Linked DNA regions of Tamandua tetradactyla. Each later gene encodes a partner of the first gene's protein in a complex. Links are inferred from orthologs where the notes say so. Each region holds a gene or a part of one and is shown in the gene's direction. Other genes may lie near its edges.

Evidence for each region.
Region 2: the proteins of SCML2 (region 1) and H2AJ are in contact, whole or in part, in a crystal structure (PDB 4EDU), measured with the Homo sapiens proteins. The link is inferred for Tamandua tetradactyla from reciprocal best matches to the Homo sapiens genes SCML2 and H2AJ. Residues at the interface, in NP_006080.1 of Homo sapiens: Asp182, Asn185, Tyr187, Leu188, Cys190, Phe206, Trp209, Phe213, Pro239, Pro240, Gly241; in NP_808760.1 of Homo sapiens: Leu35, Arg36, Lys37, Gly38.

The regions. Positions count from the first base shown.
Region 1 is NC_135353.1:156,474,372-156,481,479, forward strand, and holds the start of SCML2 (sex comb on midleg-like protein 2), read left to right. Parts: upstream 1-3,996; 5' UTR 3,997-4,094; intron 4,095-4,872; exon of another isoform or gene 4,873-4,986; intron 4,987-7,108. UniProt on the Homo sapiens protein: Putative Polycomb group (PcG) protein. PcG proteins act by forming multiprotein complexes, which are required to maintain the transcriptionally repressive state of homeotic genes throughout development.
Region 2 is NC_135333.1:77,349,918-77,355,345, forward strand, and holds H2AJ (histone H2A.J), read left to right. Parts: upstream 1-4,050; 5' UTR 4,051-4,191; coding exon 4,192-4,581; 3' UTR 4,582-4,753; downstream 4,754-5,428. UniProt on the Homo sapiens protein: Core component of nucleosome. Nucleosomes wrap and compact DNA into chromatin, limiting DNA accessibility to the cellular machineries which require DNA as a template.

The DNA.
Region 1 (7,108 bases):
TCCTAACTTCTCTGTTATAACTCCTTCTTCTCCTTTGATCCTTCTTCCAATCTTTATGGGTATTTGGATTATGCTTATCTTAATTTTTTCATATTGGAAAGGGGTGTTGATAATATGGGATGGGGGAGGAACTAGTTGATGTTCTTCGAGAGGCTGACTCCTCTGGATTTCAGGATTTATCTGGCCTAAGAACCCAACTGGAGGTTGTAGTTTTCTGGAAAGTAATCTTAGCACGTGAAAGTTTTGGAGAATATCAGATAGAACCCTAGGTGTTGCTTAGGGTTAGCAGGAATGGTGCTGGTTGGGGTTTGACAAACCATGGTAATTAGCAACATCTAGCTGAAGCTTGCATAAAAGTGCCTCCAGAATAGTCTCTAGACTCTATTTGAACTCTCTTAGCCACAGATACCTTATTTTGTTACATTTCTTTCCCCCTTTTGGTCAGGAAGACATTGTTGATCCCAGGGTACCAGGGCCAGGTTCATTCCTGGGAGTCATGTCCTACTTTGCCAGGGAGATGTTCATCCTTGGATGTCATGTCCCACATAGGGGGAAGGGTAATGATTTTCCTTGCAGAGTTGGGCTTAGAGAGAAAAATGCCACATCTGAACAACAAAAGAGGTTTCCTGGAAGTTACTCTTAGGCATAACTATAGGTAGGCTTAGCTTCTCCACTACAGAAATAAGCTTCATAAGAGCAAGTCTGAAAATCAAGGGCTTAGCCTATTGACTTGAGAGTCCCTAATGTTTGAGAGAATATCAGGGGTTTCCCTGGTGGGAAAGTTTAATAGTTCCATATTTTGTCTCCAGTCCCTCAAGGGTCTTTTCCAATACTTTTTAATTATCTGTGTAACATACCCTGGGATGCATCTGGGTATTACATTAAGCTATACAGAATTACAAACCCTCATTCCCATTCTGAGCCCCATGTGTTTGGGTTGTTTAAATGTTCTATCCAGACAGATTGAGTTAGATTATGTGCTACAGAAAACTTAGGTTTTGGACAAAAGAAACCTCTCTTCCTTTGGTCTCATCCAATAGGTGAAGTTCTAAAATACAGACAATGTCACCTTACCTGTGTATTCTGATTTTCCTTAGTCCTGACCTATTGGCTTTGTTCTTATCTTTAATCTGTTTTTCGGTTTCTTTAACAGTTGTTGTATGTAGCAATGCTGACTTTCAGAGGCTCAGAACTCCAACTCTGAGTCTTAGAGTTGGAATTTAGTACCCAGAGTTTCAGGGTGATACCAGGTTATACACATATAGCATAGCATCTCAAAATCTATAAATAACATTTACAGCTCTGAACTAAATGTGACTGCTATAAGAGTTTACAGTCTAGGCCCCAATTTTCTTATAAGTATTCTTAAAAAGAGACCATATGCTATTTGTTCTTTTGTTTCTGGCTTATTTTTCACCACATAATGTCTTCAAGGTTCATTCACCTTGTTGCATGCCTCACGACTTCATTCCTTTCTGCAGCTGCACAATTTTCCATCATATGTATACAATACAGTTCACTATTGTACTTCTCAGTTAATATATCCTTCAGCCACCTCTACCCATTGGGTATCATGGATAATGTCCAAAGTAAGCAATCCCTGTCTCACATTATCTTCAGTTGTACAATCAACACTCTCCAATTTTAGGCAATTTCCATTGCTCCAAAGAGAAAAAATAAATGATGAACATACCCTCACCAAATACAAAATCGAAACCTCCCCTTAACTTTTGTCCTCCCCTCCCAATTATTTACTGCTGGTATTGCTGTGGTACTGTTGATGTCTTCCTGTTAAACATAGCAGAGTCACACTTTAATAAATGCACTGGTGAATACAGTTCCTGAGAAGATATTGTTCTTATCAAAATAAGGCAGAATATGTTTTTAGAGAAAGGGCTTCAGTAATTTAATTTTAAAAACAGAAATATAGGAAGCAGATGAAGCAACAGGGGCACAGGCAATTTAGCAATCAGGTTTTCCGACAATTTAATAAAGGGCACATACATATAAAAAGGGATGAAAACGATAAGCCAAATCTTTCTTATACAGAATGTAGAGATGAACTTCGAATATTTTCATTGCGTTAGGATTAGAAAGACGGTGACTACTAATAAATAATTTAAGTTTCTCCAGCCCTGCTATTGCCTATACCAAAGGTTTGCTTGCATTAAACCTCTGCTTAATTTCTTCCTATTGAAGATATCTGTTGGGGATTGAATCATGTCCCCCACAAAAGGCATGTTCAGGTCCCAAGCCCTCGTCCTGTGGGTGTGAACCCATCTGTCAATAGGACTTTTGAGATGTTATTAGTTGAGGTGTGTCCAAACTGTATGAGGGTGGGCTGTAATCCAAAATGGGTGAAGTCCTCATAAAGTAAAGAAAATTGGACACAGAGCAGTTAGAAGCTGGAAGTCAATATAATTTGGGAGAGAAAGTAGAAGATGCCACCATGTGTGCTGACGTGACAGAACAGCGAAGGAACCCCAAAGATTGCCAGCTGGCCAGAAGATACCAACCATGGGAGGAAGCAAGCCTTCTAGCCTCTGAACCTGTGAGCCAACTCATTGTATGGTATTTGTTTTAACAGCCAGGACACTAAAACAGTTGTTTTTCTGCTTATTTAAGTTTGAACCTTCATCTTAGACCATTTCAACATTCCCTGATATGTGGTATGTATCATACAGACGATATGGTCAAATCTCTTTTAGTATTTGCATACTATTGGCCTAGTTTTTCTATTTTTGCCTTAAAGTCTACTCGAATTTTGCATCAGCATTTATTTATTCATTTTTTGAAGGATTCAAGAACAATCAGAGCAATTCGCTTTTGCACAGTTCACCAATGTTCAGATACAATAAAAAAAACTACTACCTTTAATTTTGCTTTTGTTTATTACTGCAAAAGGTGTGTATGGAAATAACTAACTTCATTCTGTATTGTAGAAATTGGCTATGTTCTGCGAGGTTTTATTTATTTTATTTTTACATTTTAGTCTCTGGTTTCTGAATTATGATTTAAAAAGCACATCATACCCTCTAAGTTAAGGTGATCATTGATGCAAAAACTACAGCCAGCTTTTAAAAGTGTTGTAGAAACAGAAGGCTGGTCAATGGTTTACTTCCAGTTAACATAAGCACATTGTATTATTTTCAAACAGAAGTTTTAAATCAGCTTATACCCAACTTCACAGCAAGGGATGTGATGTCTTTCTCGCGTTTTCTGTTTGCTACGTTTTGTCCTGGGAGATTCATGGGCGATTTTAGGGCTATTTTTATAGCACCCCCCCCCCCCCCGTGCGACCTCCATTTGCGAAATTGGCTGCAACCTGGGCGAGGGGTATCCGGCAAAAGGGACCCCGAAACGGACCCCCGAGGGCGCTCCCGAGCACTTTCGAGTAAGTGAGCAAATTATGTCCCTCCACCCCACAGGATTAATCTGCAGTTCATGTTAGCTCAAGTCTGGGTTTAAAGGAACAACCAAATCCAGAAAGCGGAACTAGAAGGGGAATGCGTGAAACAAAACTACGGAGAAAAAAGCTGTTTCAAGGTATATGCAGCAACACTTGAGCTGCTTTAACCAGCTGCTTCTCCCCTGCTCCTCGAATTTGGAGTTTTAGGACAGCGCCTGCTCTTTGGATACATGGCCAGGATGGGCGGTGGCCAGGATATGAAGGCGATGGCGAAGGGAAGCGGGATGGACACTTGACGCGGACCCCGGTGTCTAACTTGGGCAGTCTTGGGTGCAAGGAAGCAACTAGATTTTTTGGAGGGCGTGGAACTGGGGGAACTGACAAGGGCTTTCCTGGGCTCGCAGTCTTCTGCGCCGAGACACCCGAGGGCGTCTGCAGCAGTCGCCTGGCGGCCGAGCGCTTCCGGCTCGCGACTCAGCACGCGGTGGCGGTCCTAAGGTGTGCTACCGACAACCGCAGTGCACGCGGGCTGGCCCGGCCGGGGGGCGGGGCGGCGGCGGCGGTTGCGGGGCATGCGCGGCTTCGCGCGCGGCTTCTCAAACATGGCGGCGGCGGTGTGAAGTCCGTTGCCGGCTCGCGGGACTAGTGTGACAGAATTTCGCTTCTTTGGACTCCGAGACCCGAGGTGCGTGGCGACTCCGGTCTCCGTGAGGAGGAGGGAGGCGGAGTTGTGGCGTCCGGTCCCCCGGCCGTTGACCGTGGGCGGGCGGAGGGGAGACTTCGGCTGCGCGTCCCGCTCGAGGAACGCCCCCTCATTGCCCCGCGGGGGTCTCGTTTTAGCTCGGCCCGGTGCCCTCTTCTCCCACCCATGAGACTTTTGCGGCTTCCCTGCCCCGCGTAGTGCCCTCCGTGGGCACCCCGAGGCACCTCTGGCGACGCCCCTCCTTTTTTCCTGGGGCCCCTGTCGCCCGGCGCGGGCCCATGCCGCCCGCGGCGTTTGGGAGCCCTGCGGCTCTCCGCAAGCGGCGCCCTTTTCCTCAGCGCGGACAGCGCCCTGTAGCGCATCCGCCCCCCCCCCCCCCCCCGGGGGCTGGGACCGGGTAGGGACCGGGGCGGCGGTGAGCGGCCCGAGAGCTTCGCGCGCCAGGGTTGGGGAGCAGGAATGACTTTGCGTGGTCTGGATTGTGAACGCCTTGGGCTCCTTCCGGGGACTTGTGAGGTAAACTTTCGGAGTTTGGGAGGGAAACGTCAGCTCGGAAGGATGCGCGGATCCCGGTGCCAGGGGCGCGGCAAGGCCTCGCGTGAGGGGCATCTAAAGTGGGGGGCAGCGGACTCGCGGGGCTAAGCGGGAGGGGAGGGCGCGCCCCGCTGGGGTGACGAGGCGCCCCGACTCTCCTGAGGAGCCGCGAGGTGGCGGCGGCGGCGGCGGCGTTCCCTGGCGGTTAGACAGCGAGCGGCTGAGGACCATCGCTGCCTAATTTAGAAACAGCCCCGAAATGGTTCCTTACCTTTCTCACTTTTCCCCCCTGCTTGGTGGTTGTGCTCATCCTTAGTATGGAGAGCCACTGGTAGAACGGGTAGGCAAACTTTATAGATTTTGCGCCTTAAGGTTTCGAGTGGTGAACTGTGTAGCTTACTTGTTTGCTTTTTTTTGCTAATGTTTGGGCAGTACAGGTTTTTAATTTCAAGTTCCCAGTTAGGTCTGTTGAAGCCTTTTAATGGGTTACAAAACATCTGTCACGTTACAAAGTATGATTACACTTTAAAATTTGCCTCTATTTTGAAGAATTAGAAAATTAACATTTATGATTTACTTGTAAGGTGACTTTAGGACAACATCTCTAGAAAGTGAATGGGTCGATTAGTAGGGGTGGAACTGAGGCAGGGAAGTAAGTAACTCGCTTGTGAGCATAGTATTTACAAAATTGTTGGGGATGAGTTTCTTTTCCCAAGCAACTCTAGATGTTGCTGCATTTTTAATGTCTCCAGACTTATTCATGCTTATGTTTTGGGAAAGGGCCATATTATAAAAAGATGTATGTCGTTTATGGAGTGCAAATTCCAGTGACAAGATACTATAATAATAATTCATAGACAACACTTTTGATTTATTTTTCCGTAGCAGTGCTTGCGAATATTCTTTAGTAATGACAATTTTTGCCTTCCTTGCCATTTTTTTTCTTAATTACTCACTAAATAACATATTTCCAACTATGAATGTTCTTTCAGGCTGTTTGTGTTTGCTATGTCTGTTGAGAAGAATGTGAAAATAAGCTTTTGTAAATGAGACCAATTGAGATTTTTGAGAAAGAAGTACATCATGAGCATTCACCTCATGCCTTGTATAGGTTTTGCCATAGCTTTAGCCATAACTTTCAAAACAGTCTGATAGAAAACAACACATAATCAAACATCATTTAAAATGGCTTTTAAATTTTTGAATAAACTTCATAAGTATCATGCAACCTTACAAGCTTCTTAAGGGTTGTATATGTGTTTCCCTCAGAGAATTTGATTTGCTTTGGAAGTTGTATTTAATGTAATTGAACTACATGTGTGAAGATCCTTTAAAGGTGATAGTGCCATAATATGTGCAGAGAACATTGAAGACAGTCTTAAAGACGTTGTGTCAGTTTTTCCCATGAGGGGGGTTGGTCAGTCTTTGTGATTTTATTGTTCAATCATGCATCTTTATTAAGTGCTTATGCTATGTATCGAATAGAGTTCAGTTCAGGGAACATTTATTCAGAGCCTACTAAGTGCTGGGCACAGTGCTAGTTTCGGAGTGTTTTAACTTTTCTGAATAAACAGTAGTTTATTCCTGAAAAGTTCAAGGTTCTAGCTAAGAAAATCAGTATGAATGTGAAACAAGTATTCCTTTTAGTTAAAGGGCAAACTCAGGGAGTCAGTACTTTTGTCATTATTCTCTAAACAAAATTCTTGGTGCAACTGAATTATTATTTCTGACTTGTGTGATATTAATTTTTGTGTGATATAAATTATACATTTGTATGAGGGATTATTTTCTGGGTCAAATAGATAACGTATTGGTTAGCCTAAAGGGAAAAAATGAGTTACTAGCACAATTGAAATCAGTGTGTGCTCTGGAGAGTGCTTTTTTTTTTTTTCCCCCAAATGCTAAGCAACCTTACTTTCTATGACCAAGTATTTTAGGCTGGAACTGGACTTTTACCTGATATTTTAGGACACTTTTATTCAAAATACTGAAAAAAATCTCTTTGCACTTAAAAATAGCAAATAAAGGTTATGATGGTCAGCTATAAGCCAGATGTCACTCTCATTTTCTTTTGGGTTTGTTCCTTTTTAGCTGCTTGCCTGTTCCTCCCAGATGCTTCCTATCGCCCCTCTTCCTGCCCCTGTTCCCTTTGCTGTTGGTGTCTGTTTCCGCATCAGTGAAATGATCAGGGTAATCCTGTGTGCCTCACTGAGGAATAATTGATGATGGTAAAGTGCCTTGAAAAGATTGAGTAAATACCAAGTCTTTTGAATGAGGTGACGTTACCACCTTGTTCCATTTAGGGAGCTTGCAACTTCCAATGTTTCTAGGCTCTCGGGGGAGAGGGGAGAGAGAGGAAGAAAATTTTACTTTTATATTTTACCACTGCTCTCTTTAGGTTAATGGAAATTATTATTGTAACTGGAACATTGGTGGATGCAAGGGATCCTCTGCTATTTGAG
Region 2 (5,428 bases), on another chromosome or scaffold:
CAGGGTGACAAGGCCAGAATGGGTTCCCACCTCGTCTCACTGGCGGCCCCTGTCGGTCCGTATATAAGTGGACTCCCGCAGTCTTCCCCTTTAGTCTAGTCCCTACTCTGGTTTAGCCGCACCGCCTGGGCGTGAAGCAGAACGCCCACCTTGGGATGAGGATTCCTACCAACTAGTTGAGCTCCGTCTCAGTACCGAACTGGAGGTGGAGAGCAGCCTGCTTTTCTTGACCCCGCCAGCCAGCAACGTGATCTCGGCAGCCAAGTGCGAGCTCCCAGATGTTCACCCACTCTGCGCAGCTGGCCCAGGGGGAATTGCCCCGCCCGCGAAGTTTGACTAGGGTTGGGCTTCGCTCGCACTTCGCAGCATCGCTGTTAGCGTTTGGACCTAGCTCTCACTCTCAATACATTAGCGAAGCTGCTCTCCATAACAGGTAAATACGGTTCTGATTTGCCGGAAGAGACACTTTCCTATCAGACGCTGAGGCATAAGCCAGACACTGCGGTCGATCGGCGAGGAACCGCATCCAAAGCTTGGGCCTCCCCTCCAACACACCCTTCATTTGCATAATAGTCGCGATATAAGTATTCTGAGGCAGAGGGCTCAGCTGCTTACTCTGCTTATTACTCTCAGAGAGGCTAGGGTAGGAACGTTCCTCCCCACCCCCACCCCCGCAAATAAAAACTACACACAAGAGCGGGGCCTCTACTGCACTGCAACGCAGCTCCCAAGACACATACATCTTAAGCACGTGGCGGTGGGATTCCCGGCCTGGGACCTACTGCAGGGATACCTCCCCTTTTACTCTCTCCATTCTCGAAGCCTCAGCAGAAATAGAGCCATCTCCAATGGTATTCAGAACGGTACATCTTGCGTTTAGGTCAGACACCCGTGTATTAATACAAAAACGTTAGCAGCTCTTGTTTTCAAGTTTTGAGGGCCCTAAAAAGGACTTTCTGGATTCTATGAAGAACTCGCGGTCACATCAGCCGCCAGAACCTGTGCGTTTTAAAGCGTACACCACATACATGGCTGTGATCGCCTTGCGTTCGGTGTGTTCAGTGTTAAGTCACCGCGTTTTCCAGAAAGACTCGGAGTGCTTGGGTCTCTTCGTAGATAAGCCCAGATATACGTTCACGGCGAGCGAAGTCGACGGATCACAAGCCTCGTAATGTCTTGGCTGTTACCCCACTAAACCTTCCGATAGTACTCGGCTCCCCCTTCGCGCAACCCTTAACCTTCTTAGCCTCAGCCACACCCAACAACAAAAAGAAATCTCGAAGCGAAAAAGTAACGACTAGACCCACCAGCCCCAGCTCCCGGCCTTTATTCTCTTGTTGCGGACCTGTTTGAAAACCTCAAGTGGGCGGAGTTTGAGGTCTCACATCCGGAGACTTTTTTTCTCAGAATTGATGAGTTTGTTTTTGTGCAGCGGTAAATTGTGTAAGAAGCACGCAAAATAAGACTGATTTTCTTTTGTTTTGTTTTCAGTTTCGGGAGAAACTTTAATACTTTTGCCATAAATTTGAAGAAATATTCAATATGATATATTTAAAAGTTTTAGCAAAATAAACTAATAGAATTTAGATTACGTTTCCTCAACGCTTAAGAAACAGTAAGAGAAGTCCTATACTCTCTAATTCTGCTTTTCAAACAGAATGCTTACTCACATAATGCCATTCCCGAACTAATGTGAAGTAGGAACAGAAAATTTATTACATTGTATTAGCTCTCAAAGCAATAATTTTACAGCTATTTATTTATTTATTCTTTCGTGTCTGAGGATAAATCTGATAATCAGAATTATTTCAATAGGTAGTCTTTCCCTCCTCAGCCCCGCCTTAACCCCCTTTAGAAGGCTCTCACCCCTTTCTTCGTAGAATCCCTGAACGAAAACTAAGCTTTCAATAAAGTATCACTGCTCTTGAAGCGAGACAAAACTCTTCCTCACACATTTTACTACGTTAAAAGGTAGCAGTATTTAAAGGATGATTCATAACTTTGCCAAGTACTTAACATTTCGGGGACTATTTTAGTAAATTGGGCTCCCTGCCTCCAAGTTTGAAGGACGAGCCCTTGCAGAAGGACAACGTCATGGTAAAATTTTATTACATTTTAAAATATTTATAATTTTCACTTGCTTCAATCCTTACCCATCTTCAAAATTCAAAAAGTGCATTTGTGTTCATTATGAATCTAAAGAACACAAGGAAGACTGGATGGCTAAGAAAAAAAAAATCTTGAATAGACAAACCGTACTTCATGGTTTTAATCCTTAACAAAGAGAAAAGAAGACGATTCTCTATAAACCTTGCAGAGATTTGTAACAGTAAAATAGGTTTAATTATTTATCTTTACTCTTCTTTTTAAGAAATTAAAAGAACATTTTCAAGTTAGATATTGGCATTGCTTACAATAATAAAAAGAAAAACCGCGTTCAAAATAATGATGAAAAAAAAATCTAAGAATTTCCCATGATTTTGGTAAAAATTTCAGCCATTTTACAGAACTCGTTTCAGGAACATCTTGTTAAAAATTGCATCAGAGATTTATATGTTCATTTATTCAGTATATCCAACAGTTACTGGATTCTTACAAATGTATTTAATCTTCAATACAACACTTTAGAATAGGTACACAAGCTAAATAACATCCGAAATTAGCTGGTAAGAAAGTGATGGAAGAAGGATTTGAACCCAGGCAGTCTGGCTCGACTGATCGCCGTAACCATTACAATATACTGCTTATTAGCTCCAAAAACATTTAAATAAATCCTACTATGGGTCAATTATTGTGTTAAACAGTCAGGACCTACACATAAATAAATGAAAATTTGAACTTAAATGAAATCAAACCTTTATTAAGATATGAGAGGGTAATTTTTTTTCATTTAAATTGGAACTGTAATCCAGATAAAAATATTTTAATAAGTAAATGTTTAACGTTACATCACGCCAGCAGTATAATTATATAATTGTGGAGAAAATGCTGAGGTAAACGAAAGATTACCGGAAAGTAATTTGTAATAATAAAAAACTTTGTTGCAAATGCTACGGATCTGCAACGTGGATATATAAGGACCGCTGCTGTAGTCCTTTGATGTTTTCACAACCTCTGAGAGCCACAGGGCGGTAGAGGGCTGTGGAAGAAGTTCCTAGCGCCATCGGAAGGTCTTAGGCAACCGTATCCACCTCTGCACTCACAGACAAGCATACCCCGGGCATCTTCATAGTCTTCGTGGAGATGTGATTCACTGCACAACGACCTCCACCGCACAAGCCAAGCCCAAGACTTTCAGCCTCAGCGACTGAGCTGCGCCAATGGCCTCTCCCTGAAAATACAATCTCAAAGAAAAAAAATGTTCAACTCTGGCCAAGCGAGCTTTATTCCTGCCGCTTGTGCGGAAAGCATTCATGTCTAGTTGTTTAAGAAGCCTCGTGGCGAAGATTGGCAGCCTGTGGGTGAGGCGGCGGGGATATAGTACCGTCCGGTGTAGTTAAAATGTCTGGTGGTCAGATTCTTCCTACACCATTTGGCTAAGGGGGGCATCTGGGTTGCAGTGGCTTTGTTTTAAGGAAAAGCCAACGTAGCGTGTACTGGGCTTGGAGAATTCGGTAGGGAAGTTGTGATTTCGCTTGGGGGAACAGCGTTCCCTTAAAGCACCGGCTCTCGAATCAGAAAAGCACCTTGCTTTGACGCCGTATTAAATGAGAAAAAGTCCACCTAGAGAGCATAGCTAGGTCTGGCACAGGGTGCGACCTCCATTGCTAGGGATATCTCGTGCTCCAGCGCTACGTTATTAGTGCATGAAGGAGCTCCCCTTGTGGGTTTTCCCGTATCCAACCATGCTTCCTTAATTCTCAGGACTTTTCTTGGCTAAATTCAGCCGGGTCCCCAAACGCCACCCCACGGTATTCATATTAGAGGCTATGTAAATGAGGATTAGGAGTTTTCCTCTTTTGATTGGAGAAAGCTGGAGAAGGCGGTCCCTCTGCTAACTCGCGAACTGCGAGCAGAGCCTGCCTGCCATTGGTCACTGGAGCCGAGGGATGTTGAGGCGTCCAATGGGAAGGCGCTGCTTAGTGGACACAAACAGGTAGAGGCAGTTCCTGTGTGGCTCGCTGCATTCTCGAGCCGAGACCCAGGTCCTGCGTCGTTTGTCCTCTCTGGAGGCTTGAGTGAGAGCCGAGCATGTCCGGTCGTGGGAAGCAGGGCGGCAAAGTGCGGGCAAAGGCCAAATCACGGTCCTCACGCGCGGGCCTGCAGTTTCCGGTGGGTCGAGTGCACAGATTACTGCGCAAAGGAAACTACGCGGAGCGAGTGGGCGCCGGGGCGCCGGTGTACCTGGCAGCGGTGTTGGAGTACCTGACCGCAGAGATCCTGGAATTGGCTGGCAACGCCGCCCGCGACAACAAGAAGACCAGGATCATCCCTCGCCACCTGCAGCTCGCCATCCGCAACGACGAGGAGCTGAACAAGCTGCTGGGGAAAGTGACCATCGCTCAGGGCGGCGTCCTGCCCAACATCCAGGCTGTGTTGTTGCCCAAAAAGACGGAGAGTCAGAAGACGAAGAGCAAATGATCCCAACGCCGCCCCCTGGAAGCGAGGCTAGCTGGGTTCCCCGGCCAGAACCTCCTTGTTAGCCGTTCTCAGTGTCTTTGAATGTGCTGGGCGTCATGGAGGGTCGGCGCGGTCTAGTGGACATCTAGAGCGGCCCGCCTGGGTCGGGGACCAATAAAGTCGGTGAAAATCATTTGGTCGAGAAAGCTGTGTAGTCGCGGGGATCTGCCGGATTATCCCGAGCCGGGGGGAGGGGGCGGCCGGGAAACTCTAGGTGCAGGTTCTTGTGGTGGGTTTGGGCCACTTTCTGGTCCGCAGGTCCCCTTTGAGCCTTTATGGGCTGAGCAGGGAGATCTGGAGGGACCCACTGGCCCGGAAAAAAGCAGGGTTAGATGCTCCTCGCTCGCCTTAAGGCAAAGGAAGAGCCGAAGTAAACGTTCAAGCGGCGGGAGGTATTTTTTTTTTACACCCCTTCCCTAGGCTTTTAACTTTTTAGTGCTATCTGTGGGCGGTTCAAGGCCCAGTTGTCGGAAGTGGACCAAAGGCCCGAGCCCTTCCCGGGCAGGAAGTTGTCTCTGGGGCCATTTTCACTTCACTCCCCGTCCTTTTCAAAAGGTAGAGTAACTTATGTCTTCCAAGGGTGGTGGCTTTGATGACGCGCCATCAACTTAAGAAATTAGCCTGATGACTGTTGTGTTTTTGGGTGTTGAAATTCAGACACTTTTATTTAGCACACTTATGTTTGATTCGCGGTTTTTTGTTTTGTTTTGTTTTGTTTTTTTCATGAGGGGAGCATACCGTATACAGAATCGTGAGTCATGAGATGGGAAATTCGTATCCCTCGCATTCATAGGCAGAACTGAAGCAC